2 linked regions of the Neurospora crassa OR74A genome follow. The protein of the gene in region 1 purifies or fractionates together with the protein of each later gene. This does not show direct contact. Links are inferred from orthologs where the notes say so. Each region holds a gene or a part of one and is shown on either strand. Other genes may lie near its edges.

Evidence for each region. The genes of interacting proteins can lie anywhere in the genome.
Region 2: the proteins of NCU00880 (region 1) and NCU06856 purify together in Saccharomyces cerevisiae (affinity purification with western blotting; 3 studies listed by BioGRID, with this or other methods). This does not show direct contact. The link is inferred for Neurospora crassa OR74A from reciprocal best matches to the Saccharomyces cerevisiae genes DOA1 and UFD1.

The regions. Positions count from the first base shown.
Region 1 is NC_026501.1:6,880,723-6,887,088, reverse strand, and holds NCU00880 (phospholipase A-2-activating protein), read left to right. Parts: upstream 1-2,422; 5' UTR 2,423-2,997; coding exon 2,998-3,048; intron 3,049-3,103; coding exon 3,104-4,208; intron 4,209-4,262; coding exon 4,263-5,536; 3' UTR 5,537-5,803; downstream 5,804-6,366. Other genes in the region: NCU00879 (WD domain-containing protein, variant), read right to left, coding at 398-1,329, 1,404-1,530. UniProt on the Saccharomyces cerevisiae protein: Ubiquitin-binding protein involved in protein ubiquitination, sorting and degradation. Acts as a ubiquitinated substrate-recruiting adapter for chaperone ATPase CDC48 by binding mono- or polyubiquitin chains.
Region 2 is NC_026502.1:1,741,381-1,747,401, reverse strand, and holds NCU06856 (ubiquitin fusion degradation protein), read left to right. Parts: upstream 1-2,849; 5' UTR 2,850-3,067; coding exon 3,068-3,070; intron 3,071-3,159; coding exon 3,160-4,305; 3' UTR 4,306-4,588; downstream 4,589-6,021. Other genes in the region: NCU06854 (RuvB-like helicase 2), read left to right, coding at 1-413; NCU06855 (hypothetical protein), read right to left, coding at 802-2,304; NCU06857 (hypothetical protein), read left to right, coding at 5,604-6,021. UniProt on the Saccharomyces cerevisiae protein: Functions at a post-ubiquitation step in the ubiquitin fusion degradation (UFD) pathway. Has a role in the endoplasmic reticulum-associated degradation (ERAD) pathway.

The sequences.
Region 1 (6,366 bases):
GCATAGCTCAACGCAGGGTGGATGCCGGTCTGGTATTGCGCGTCAAACGAACAGGCGACAAGGGCTTATCGTACTTGTTCGGCGAATAGCTGAGCAAAAGGTCGGAAGTGGTATCGGAGGGTGACTCGACATCAATCTCAAACCTGAGAGGAGATGCCTTATTGGCGTGACGCCTCGGACGGACGGGTGAAAGGGGCTTATCGTACTTGTTTGGCGAATAGCTGAGGAGATCAGAGTGAGGATTCACGGCCGATGTGACCGGAACCTCGAAGCTCAGAAGATCAAGAACATCAGGCGTAGCAACGCCTTGGTTGGTGATATCCTTGAATACACCCGTCGTCTGTTGGGAAAAGTACTCCTTCGCTGAGCCAAAATCGGGGCATTGATGCTTCTTCTCCTAGTCGGTGCCACTGCCGGATACACCCCCACGCCAGAGCCCGTAATAGCCGTCACAGTTCTTCCACATCTTGATTGTGCCATCCTCTGACCCAGTTGCATACAAATTGCCGTCGGGAGAGAACGCAATGGACCAGATGGGGCCGTGGTGACCCTTGTGCACATCGATTTCCTGGCCCTCGTCCCAGGTGTAGACGCGAGCCCAAGTACCCGGTTCTTCGCCAACAACAAATTTTCTACCCTTTAGGTCCAGCCCAACACTAGCAATTCCATGGGGAAGCGTGATCCTCTTGAGCTCATCCTCAGCTCGGCTTCCACCCCAAAAATAGGCGGTTTTTCCCGCAGCCACCGCCAGGACAGGCAAACCGCCACCGATATCGGTGGGAGCGCTATGCGAAGGCGCAAGTGAAACCAGCTCGCATGACTTGATCTCGCCTTCCAGTTTCGCCTCACGCACACAACGACGAGAGGGAAGATCGAACCAGCGCAGCGTGTCGCCAGACGCGGTGATGATTACGTTGGGGTCGCGAGCCCAGACGATGAACTTGATGATATCTTTGTGTACCCCTTCGCCAATCTCAAAGGCTTTGGATGCGTCAATTGTGACTGGTTCGGGACTGGTGCCCGATGGTGAAGTAGCCGGCCTCTGATCCGCCAGGTCAAAGATGCGAAGCTTCTTCTCGTATCCGCCAGTTGCCAGCAGTCCGGAGTTTTCGTACGGATAGGCAATGGCGCGGACAATATGGTCATGCTTGAGGACATAGAGCAGTTCGCCGGTGTGGGTGTCCCAGATCTTGGCACTGAAGTCCGCAGACGAGGTGGCAGCGGTCGATGCATCAGGGCTGAGCCTTGCTTGCCATGTAGCTCCCTTGTGCCCTAGAAAGGTGCCGATCCAATCACCAGTCTGGCCGTCGCGGAGCATTGGGTTGCCATCTGTAGTGAAGAGCCACGTCAGTAACCGTCGTCATGTATGGTTGTTGGCTAACCCGTAAAAGACCCATGGGTACCTTTGCAAGAAGAGATCATGTAGTAGGAATCTTCCTTTTCAAGTGGGGAGAAGCTCAAGTGGGTGACAGGCCGCGAGTGGCCATGGCAGGTCAAAGGGACTGTCTGGCGGCGCGCGGGTTCGGTCATCGTGGATCGTGATGTAGTGATATGTAAGGACTGAAGCAGGCTACAAGAAGCCTGAACGGCGGTCGTCCCTTGAAGAGAAATAGAGGCAGTAAGTCCCGTCGATTAGTGAGGAGTATGCGTGGAGAGGCGGCCTAGAGTATCGAAGAAAACGCTGGTGATGACGCCGTGTATGATGAGCAAAGCCAGGAGGGGCAGGTCTATCGTCAGTTTCGCAACGAAGTCGAGTCGAAGAGTCGGACAAAGGAATGGAAAGCGTAACGGTCGTGAAGAGGGAGAGCCCAAAATCGTCGTATTTAACCGGAAAAGAAATGGAGAGATGATGCCAGAGTGGTGATCATGTCTCTAGGTCGTGGCGCCGTCAAGAGTAGGTAATTAAGAGGAGAAAGAATGGGTTTGGCGTTTGCTCTGGCTGCAACGGGGCGATGCACTGGTGGCACCTGGTTGCCGTTTAGGGTGTCCCCTCCGTCACAGGTGCCCCTTGCGGAGTCTCCATGTAGGGACTACATAGACCTATCCGCTGGAAGTGGGTGCCACCGGCAGGCAGGGGGCAACGCGGATGCTATCAGATCGATGACAGTCCCAGGTTCTATCGCCATTTCAAGACCAGGAAGGTGTTTATCCGAATAAGTATCCGATATCAAGGCAACTATCTGCACTATAATGTACTATGGTGTTGTTTCCAAGTACTCGTAACTTGCAGGGTTTAGGGTATGTGAATAGCTGTGATGATAAGTCAACGTCTGGAACCTGAGCTTGTAAGTCGAGGCGTACACAACCTATCGTCAACCTTTACAATACCTGAAGACGGGATTTTGACACCTCCAAACTACAATGATAGGGCAAATAGTCTAAACGAAAGTGACGTGATTGCAGTCCGGCGAGGCTCAGTCACCTGAACTAATGTACATAGCAAAAGGGCATGGGAAGGATTGACTGACCAGACGAACCTCTCCTGTCCGTACTATCAACCTCACCCCCCGGGCCCCAGTGGCTCAAGCTCCCCCGCCTCCTGCCAGGTGCAGTGCGTCAACAGGATGGGAACCTAACACAGGCAACGTTCAACGACCCGACAGTGATGCCCCGCCAACCGCCCCTGCCGGTATCGATACGGGCGGTGGTATCCGCAACTCCAGTTCGTCATCTGTCAGGTTCGCAGGGAGGAAGCTGAGGACCGCTCCTGCCATCGGAACTTCGACCCAATTCCCATTCCTTCTATTTTCCCAACATCAGTATACCCTCGGTTTCCTTACAAATCAAGCGCATCCTTTTCTCTTCCATTTTACGTGCTAGTTCACCCTCAACGTGCTCGAGCACCGAACCACGACTTATATTGCCCTTCTGAGACCCGTGTACGCCGGCGTTGTCCCGTTGTCGACTGAAGGAGCACGCTCGCCGCCCCGACTGAGCCCCGCCCCCGTCTCTAACCCATCATTATCGGCCGAGGTCCCAACAACAACGACAACAAAGATGGTGCAGGAGTTCAAGCTCTCAGCCCAACTAAAGGGCCACGAATCTGATGTCAGTACGGCGATTAAGAGACCCGTCATTCAAAGCTAACACGTGCGTCACCCAGGTTCGGGCAGTTAGCTTTCCAGCAGCCAACGTCGTCCTCTCTGCCTCCCGAGACCACACTGTTCGACTTTGGCGCAAGGCGACAAGCCAGTCGCCCTTCGACGACACTATCGTTAGCCAAGGTCACGGCTACATCAACTCTCTCACCTTCATCCCACCCACTGGCGAATACCCCGACGGCCTGGTTGTTTCAGGCGGCGCTGAGCCCATCATCGAGGTCAAGAAGCCGAATGCGACACCTGATATCAATGCCGAGCGACTCCTAGTTGGACATGGCCACAATGTGTGCACACTCGACGTCTCGCCCGACGGAAAATGGCTTGTTTCTGGCAGCTGGGATGGCAAAGCGATCGTTTGGAATACTGCTACTTGGGAGATGGCCCATGTGCTCGTCCATAACATGGACAACAGAGGTGTCTGGACAGTCCTCGCATACGACGCGGATACCATTATTACCGGTAGCGCCGATAACAACGTACGGGTATTCCGACTAAAAGGCGCTACGGGCCTCGAAATCGAAGCTTCACGCACCCTCAGTACCGGTGATGTTGTGCGCGCATTATGCAAGCTTCCCTCAGGCCTGAAGGGGCACCCCAGCGGTGCTGATTTCGCCAGTGCCGGTAATGATAACGTCATCCGGCTATGGAAGTTGTCAGGAAAAGAGGTGGGAAAGCTTCAGGGCCACGACAGCTTCATCTACTCACTTGCCGCCCTACCCACCGGCGAAATTGTCAGTTCTGGAGAAGACCGCACTCTGAGAATCTGGAGGGGCTCCGAATGCATCCAGACTATTACACACCCTGCCATCTCGGTGTGGACTGTGGCCGTCTGTCCCGAAAATGGCGACATTGTGTCCGGTGCCAGCGACAATATGGTCCGTGTCTTTACCCGGAGCGCTGATCGGACAGCGGACACCCAAACCATCGCCCAGTTCGAAGAGTCTGTCCGAAGCTCGGCAATCCCACAGCAGCAGGTCGGCTCTAATATCAACAAGGAGAAGCTTGATACCAAGGATTGGATGCAAACCAATTCCGGGACCAAGGATGGCCAGATCAAGATGATTAGGGAGGAGGATGGCACCATTGGCGCCTACCAATGGTCCATGGGTGAGTGCAACTAGCCCGCCCTTAGTCTGTGAATCAAGCTAACATGTTACGCAGGTCAACAACAGTGGATTCACGTCGGAACAGTCGTCGATTCTGCTGGTAGCAGTGGCAAAAAGGTGTCGTACAATGGCCAAGAGTACGATTACGTCTTTGACGTGGATATTGAGGATGGCAAGCCACCACTGAAGCTCCCTTACAACCTGTCGCAGAATCCGTACGACGCGGCCACCAAGTTCCTTGGTGATAATGAACTGCCGATCTCGTATCTCGACAATGTCGCCAACTTCATCACACAGAATACTCAGGGTGCCACCCTAGGACAGGCCAATGAGGCCCCCTCGAGCGACCCTTACGGTACCGACTCTAGGTACATACCTGGCCAGGACAGTCAACCTGCGAAGCCTAAATACTTGCCGCATACCGAGTTCCTCAGTTTGACCAGCGGCAAACTTGAGCCGGCCCTTGCTAGACTCAAGACGCTCAACACCAAGCACATTCAGGCCGGGAACAAGCATATCGCGATGAACCCCGATAATGTTGAGATTCTTGAGGAGCTTGTCAAGCAGCTGCTTCAGCCAGCTTCTGCTGCCGGAAAGTTGGCCAACTTGGACGCATCAAAACCCATTCTCCTCACACTCGTCACTCAGTGGCCGTACGCGGACAGGCTGCCAGCGCTCGATATTCTTCGTTGCCTCGCCGCCTGGCCTGCTGCGGCTTCCATCACAGACGACCGCTATGGCGACATCATCGACATTGCGGTCAGGGGAGCACTTGACGTGGAGGACACTGTAACTGCAGACGGCTCACTGAGCGACTTTATCGCCAACAAGCTTGACGCAACAAAAGCAAATGCTAACAGCGTCATGATGGCTCTTCGTACCATTCTCAACCTTTTCAAGCTTGACGATGGCCGGAAGCTCGTAGCCAGCAAGGCCGGTGTTATTTTGTCCTTTATGGGACACATTGTTGGTCTCGACGGGGATAAGGGCGTGATTGGCGCCGAGAACAACAATTTCCAGATTGCCCTGACTTCGGCGGCCTTCAACTTTGCTTGCCTATTTTACAGAGACAGGAAGTTGGATGCGAACTTGGACGAAATTGCGCTTCTCATCATGATTGTTGAGGCAACTGTGCGTAAGCAGAAGGATCCTGAAGTCCTGTTCCGCGCTCTAATGGCGCTCGGCATGGTTCTTTCTATTGGCCCACAGCCGGTAGCGGAGGCGAAGAAGCAGGGAGTTGATGCTTGGTTGACTCCGGTGATCGGGCAGACTCGGGAGCAGCGCCTCAAGGACGTTATTCAGGAGTGTCTCTCGTATATTCGGGCGTGAGGATGTCGGAAAGGAGTGAATGCCTGGATCTGATATCAATATAGTAAGGGGTGTTGAGATGGAGGGATTATTTGACGGCGGTCAATGCAGTTACCATCTAGCACCAGTGAGCCTAGCCGGCGTAGAGCTGAGCACGTTCAGTAGATACAGATGATCTTGAACTCTGACCACTTGGTCATGGGTTGTGCGCTAATACGTGCTTATCGTCTCGCCGCGTATATGACGGTTGCAGTAGGTATCTTTCGATGACATGTTCGAGTAGGCGCCCGGCTGTTTGCCGAACCGATCATCTGATGTGATCAAACGGTGCAGTGAGCGGATGAGACGAAGAGTTGAGTGAAATCTGTGATGATGGTACCTACCTATTTCAGTTTTGTCAAAACCATGGTCAATGCATAAACCCAGAAACAATGTCATTGTCAAGTGATTGTGGTCAAGTGGAAGGCTTTTGCGTCAAGCAACAAACAGTACACTCGGGAAACGTTCACTAAGACACCAGTAGTTCATACCAACCGGGTTCAGTATTTGTTCATTTCATAGTCGCGAGAATAGCAGAGGATGAAAGAGGAAAGAGGTACATACAAATCGACAGAATAAAGAACTGAAAACGCGCGCCTGCCGTCGCCCGCGCTAGGGAATCTTGTAACAAAAAAATGGTTCCAATCCACCTTTCCTTTCCTGCTTCCCAGATAAACGCCTAGTGGACAAATCGATCCGTCCTCCAAATAATCGATACCTTGCTTCTCGTTGTTGTCGTTGGCGCCTAATAGCCACACAGACAACCTCAAGGTTGTTATCTCCTCGCATTATCTCATCTCAGCGCATCTCAG
Region 2 (6,021 bases), on another chromosome or scaffold:
CGCTCGACTTCCTCGACCGCATTTCCATCATCAACACGCACTCGTACACGCCCGACGAGCTCAGACAGATTCTCACGATTCGCGCTCAGGAGGAGGAAGTCGACCTTACCCCCGACGCGCTCGCCCTGCTCACCAAGATCGGCGCCGAGGCCGGCCTCCGGTATGCGAGCAACCTCATCACGACGTCGCAGCTAATCTGCGCCAAGAGGAAGGCCAAGCAGGTCGGCGTTGAGGACGTCCAGCGCAGCTTCAAGCTGTTCTACGATCCTGCCAGGAGCGTCAAGTTCGTGCAGGAATCGGAGAAGAGGCTCATCGGCAGTGATGGCGTGGTCGATTTCCGTGTCAATGGCGGTGCTACGGGAGAGCCAGCGGCTACTGCGGCTGGTGGTGATAGCATGGATACCAGCAGCTAAACAGTCATGGGACAATGCGCTACAAGGATTAATGAATAATCTTGGGGTTATGATTTTGTTTCGTCTAGGCGTTTAATTGGGATGGCTCATCAAAAAGGCGTCTTTGTTATGATAACACTGTTTTCTTAAGCTTTATGTGTGCCTAGTCGTGGTTTTTTGTCATGTTACTGATTATGGTGATGGCATGGAGTCTGCAAATATCCGTTTGTATCATACAACGAATCGAATCAAAGTCGAAGCGTGGGGTAGCAGGAAAGGGCATAGTAGGGACGAATGACGACCAGCTGCTGAGGAGTTCCCAGCATGGTGATAAGGCTTTTGATTCTCTCGTCGCTTGGAACCGGGGGTATACTATCACACACAATCGTACAAAACCTAACCATGATGATCATACGAAGGCTGCAACCCTAGACCACTCCCCCTCCCCTCCGCCCACCGGCCTGAACTCAACCGCCTCCTTGAAGTATCCCGCATCCTGCCATGCCTTCATGGTGGGCCCGTCATACGGCCCTTGGCTTCCTCCTCCGTCTCTCCCATCTGTCCACCTAAACTCCCACATTTTGGGTTGTCCGTTTAGTGACGATGGCTGCTCTTCCTCCTTTTCAGGAACAGTAGGCTCCACCCAGGTCTCGCCCGTCTCTGCTCTATACTCTCTCACCAACCACTCCCTCTCCTTATCGTAAATATCCGGATAATCCCTTCCCAACAACTTATCCGCCGCCTCAGTAATGGCATCAATCGCCTCCCTGATCTTTTTCTGCTTCGGATCCTCCACTTCCTCCTTCTTGTCATCCACGTCCATCGAATCGATGCCCTGTTTCCTTTCCTGCCTCTTTTGCTTCCACTTGGGCACCTTCTTGGGCCCCTTGGTTTGATCTTTTCCAAGTCTTGCCAGCGCCTCCAGCGCCGTCTCCCCTTTTTCGAGCGTCAGGATCAAGTTTCTAAGCAAGTCCCCAGTGGCGATCTTGTCATCTTCCCTCTCCTGCGCGCGCCTTTCCGCCTCGCGCTTCTCGTGCGCCAACGCCGCTTTTTTGATTTCCTTTTTGGACAAGCCTTCCAGCCACTTATCGTGCACGGCATTTTGGTCGGCCGCTTTGCGGATGTAGTTGCCCGCCTCGTCAAAGGCACCCTCTTCATTCTCGGCTTGCATGTTGAAGGCGTCAATCTTGGGCGCATGTTTCTTCAGTCCGCCTAGGCCGACCTCTTCGTCTACTCCCTCTTCGGCGATGGCGGCTGCTATGGCTTCTTCGTCGTCGTCGTCTTCGTCTTCGTCGTCCGATTCGGCTGAGGCGGCGGGGTTGATGTTGATGGTTCCGCCAGCTTTGGAAGAGAGGTCTTGCCCTTCGATTTCCGAGTCGGCGAGGAAGTGGACGGATTTTTTGTCCTTCGCAGAGCCACCACCGGCTGTCGTTGGTTGAGCACCGTCGTCGTCTTCCAAATCGCCAAACATGTCTACCTCGTCATCTTCATCGGCATCTTTCCCTGCCCCGTTGGAAGGCTTGTTGTAATTATCCATCATCTCGGCCAGATCCACGTCCTCGGCGTCTTTGCCCTTCTTGCGGCTCTTCCCTCGGGCTTCCGCGCGGTCTTCCAGGTTGTCATTGTCGGAATCGGAATCGTACCCATCGATGTTGACCGCGCCGCGCTTGGTGGCTCGGGAAAGCCCACCGATCACGTCGGCGGCAAGAACCTCCTCGTCAGCTTCGTCGAGGTCGTCATCGTGCGCTGAGGGCGCGAGCGCGGAGGGGTTGCGCACGTCGAACTTGACTTTTTTGTGGGACGGCCCGCTGGAGGTGTCGTCGTCGTCGTTGGAGCGCGATTCGCCGTGGTGGGCGCGGGCGTAAGCTTCGCTGGCGCGTTTGGGGCGCGCGGCGGAGAAGCGGGAGGACATGGTGGTGGCTGTTGTCTTCAATCTCGTGTGTTGGTGTGTAGGCGTTGACGTCAGCGTGTAAAGGTTATGTCGTCTTGATAGAATGGCCTATTCTGCCCCTGTATCGCAGACTTTGTGTAGATATGGCCTGAAATGATGACTGTTTTGCCTGGGTCGACGGCGAATGACAACTCTACAAGTAGAGGATGGTGTTTAAGAGAGGATCTAGATGGCGAATTGGGAATATCAAGGAAGAACATCACTAGAGGTACCTTACCCGTTGTCAGCCCCAACGGATAACATGGAGCTCTCCACTGCCATCAAGGTCCAGAGCGTTCTGCAGTGGACAGGCAGCGCTCAAGGTACCTTTGACCTAAGCGTTTAAGAAGGGGGGGAGCTCGCGCCACGGCAGCACGGTTTCACAGATCTGACGCCACGGCGGCACCTTCTCACCCCGCCAATCCGGGCCGCCGAGGCGGCAGATACATAGAGGTAGGTACTGTACGGTACCCATGCCAGGGCTCCAATTATTACCTAACGTGCCTGTAACTTTCGGGCCCAGTTATGTCATCTGCGTTGTTGCCTTTGGAACCTTCCACGCGGTCAGGTTATTTCAACATCGTCGCAACCTCCCTTTCACTATCGCTTGTCACGCTCTGCTGTTCCGGATCCCACTACCTATTCTGCGAAGCTTACCTCGAGATCTCCCCTCTTAATACAAATTCCCTGTCGTTTCCCTTTCTGCAAAATACTTTACTCCATCTCTAGCAGCTCCCTCGCGATCATGGTAAGCTATCCTTGTCCTCACGCTCGATTATCAAGACAGCTTTTCGACCCCTCTATCTCTTGAAACATTCTAACATGTGCCCATGACAGTATGGAGACATCTACAGTCGCGCCACTGGTCGCTCTCGGGGCGCGCAACGCTTCGATGAGTACTACCGCTGCTACCCCCTTGTCATGGCGCCCGGTGCCGAACGACCTGAACTCAACTACGGCTCCAAGATTCTGCTCCCGCCCTCCGCTCTCGACAAGGTTTCGCGACTACACGTCCAATGGCCCATCATGCTAGAGCTTATCAACGGCTCGCAGGGCACCCACACACACGCCGGTGTTCTGGAGTTCGTGGCTGAGGAGGGCAGGGCCTACATCCCGCAGTGGATGATGCAGACCCTCAAGCTCGACGTGGGCGACATGATTCAGATCAAGACGACATCTCTCGAGCTTGCCAGGCTTGTCAAGCTCCAACCGCAATCGGTCAACTTCCTCGACATCAGCGACCCTCGTGCCGTCCTCGAAAAGGCCTTCCGGAACTTTGCGGCGCTGACCAAGGGCGACGTTTTCAACTTTGAGTACAACGATGAGATCTACGAAATGGCGGTACTGGACGTCAAGCCGGAGACGGCCAAGATGGGTGTCTGCATGATCGAGACAGACGTCAGCGTCGATTTTGCGCCGCCAGTTGGCTACGTCGAGCCTTCGCGACAGACACAAGGCAGTGGTACCAGCACACCACGCAACGGAAGGGCTGTTGGCGGAGGACTTCCGGCGGGTGGTCTTTTGCACAACCAGGGAACCATGGCGCAGGCTATCAACTACGATGCCATCGCACCAGGAGCCACCACCACGTCGGTGGGCAACTTTCAAGGTGAGGGTCTGCGGTTGGCGGCGAAGAAGGGTAGCAAGACGGGAACACCGAAGCCGGCGACGCCGGTGGCGGGTACGTCGACCAACGTTAAGGACGTGGTGCTGCCCAGGAGGAAAAACAACAACGGCCCGTTGCCGTTGCGTCTGCCGCCCAACAAGCTCTTCTTGGGCTACGAGATCAAGCCTGTCAAAACTGCCGCAGATAAGGAGAGGGAGGCGGCGGCGGCGAAGCAGCCGCACTTTGCGGGCCAGGGACAGACGCTCCGGGGAGGAGTCCCGAAGAAGAAGAGCAGCGATGGTGACGACAAGGCGGCGCAAGGCGAGAAGAAGCCGACAGAGAGCAAGGGAAGGCGACTTGACGGCAGGAATGTCTAGGGACAAACTTTCGTTCAACAAGCTTGTTACTAGATGGTTTGATGCATTGTCGGGCGTTAATGGGAAACAGGGTCATGGGAAAGGGAGGTTCACAGTCAAGGGATCACGGAACGTTTGTAGCGTCATTACGAATACACATGGACAGGCCACGATGCGTTTCAAGATAGAAAAGGGCTGTATATGGGATGTTGAGTGCTGAACCGCACGATGTTTACATAGGCCCATGCAGCTGACTAGAATTAGTGAAAAAGGAAATGATACCTCGATGTCCTCCTATAGCTGGAACATGCCAAGGTGATGTTCAACAAGGTCCGCTGGCTCAATGGCAGAGCGTCTGACTACGAATCAGGAGGTTCCAGGTTCGACCCCTGGGTGGATCGAGTTATCTTTTCTTTTGCCAGCATAGTATGCTGCGGCGTCACCAATTTATTTAAAAAAAAAAAAAAAAATTTTAAATTTTTTTTTTCTTTTTGTTCTCTTTTTGATCCCTTGAAATGCCGGAATTTGACTTTGGTGCAAGATGGACATGATACAAAGAGTCCCTGGTTTTTTTTCTTTTTTTTCCTCATTGTGGACGGTGCATCGAGAGCGGCTTGGTCCGTCTTGTCTTTATCTTGAGCAGTCGCTTTGTCAGTGTCATGCCAGGAAGGTCCGGAGTTCTGCCTGCATCCACTTCGAGGTCTCTCCTTCCAGAATTTTGCATCCTTAAAGATTAGTCATATGTCAACGATGCTTGGAACGAATATAGTCGACAACATCAACAGCATGACATTGAGTTCTGATGTTAGTTTAGTACCAGCGGTTTTTTGGCTTTTCCCAGTTGCACTTCCAAGAACTCGGTCGGTCGCATCATTTGAGATAAGTCCTTGATTAGCTAATGTGGGTCGTGCAGCAGGCTGGCTGGGTCCCGTGATTGGTTGAAAAGGGACGAAATCGAACGGCATTGTCGGTTTAGCACTTCCGCACAGTGAGCAAGCAAACCCAAAGCGCCTCCCACTTCCAGGGCATTTATTGATTGACTGACAGGGTTGACCACTTCCTGTTCCGGACTGGTTCTGTGCTCACTGCGACCGGACCATTCATCATCAGTCGCAAACCGAAGCCATCTTCCGACTCGCAACCATCCGTCTTCTTTAAACAACACCAAGGCAACAAAACAAACTGACTGCAACCTTGCTGGATGCACCTTGCCATATTCTTTCTTTGCTACTCGTACATATCCACAAACAAACAATCAATTGCAAACAAACCCTTTCGCACCACTCGATGCCGCTTGCTGAACAGCACAGCTAGTAGCCATGTCCAAGGTGGAGGCCCGGCGGGCTTCGGCGCGAAGCCGTACTAGATCATCTGCATTATCGGCGACGGAGGCGTTAGAAGTAGCGGCGGCAGTGGGTGGTGGCCGTAGTCTGCGGCCACGCCGAGCCGGGAGTCAGGGGGGTGGTGCTGTGGGAGCCGCTGTTGGTGTTGCAATCGGCCGCGGTGCGACATCAAATCTGGGCCCAGCGAGCCCACTAAGACGAAGCGCTCGCAGCGGGGATTCAGCAGCAGGGGCAGCCCGGAACAGTGGTGGTGGTGGTCCACGTCGTTCGATCAACGGCCGTAGAGGTGATGACAACAACACCAGCACTACAAATCACAATATTCGCCCGCGTAAGTCGTCCATCAACTATCGTGAAGACTCTTCCGACGATAGCGACAGTGCCTCTACTACGT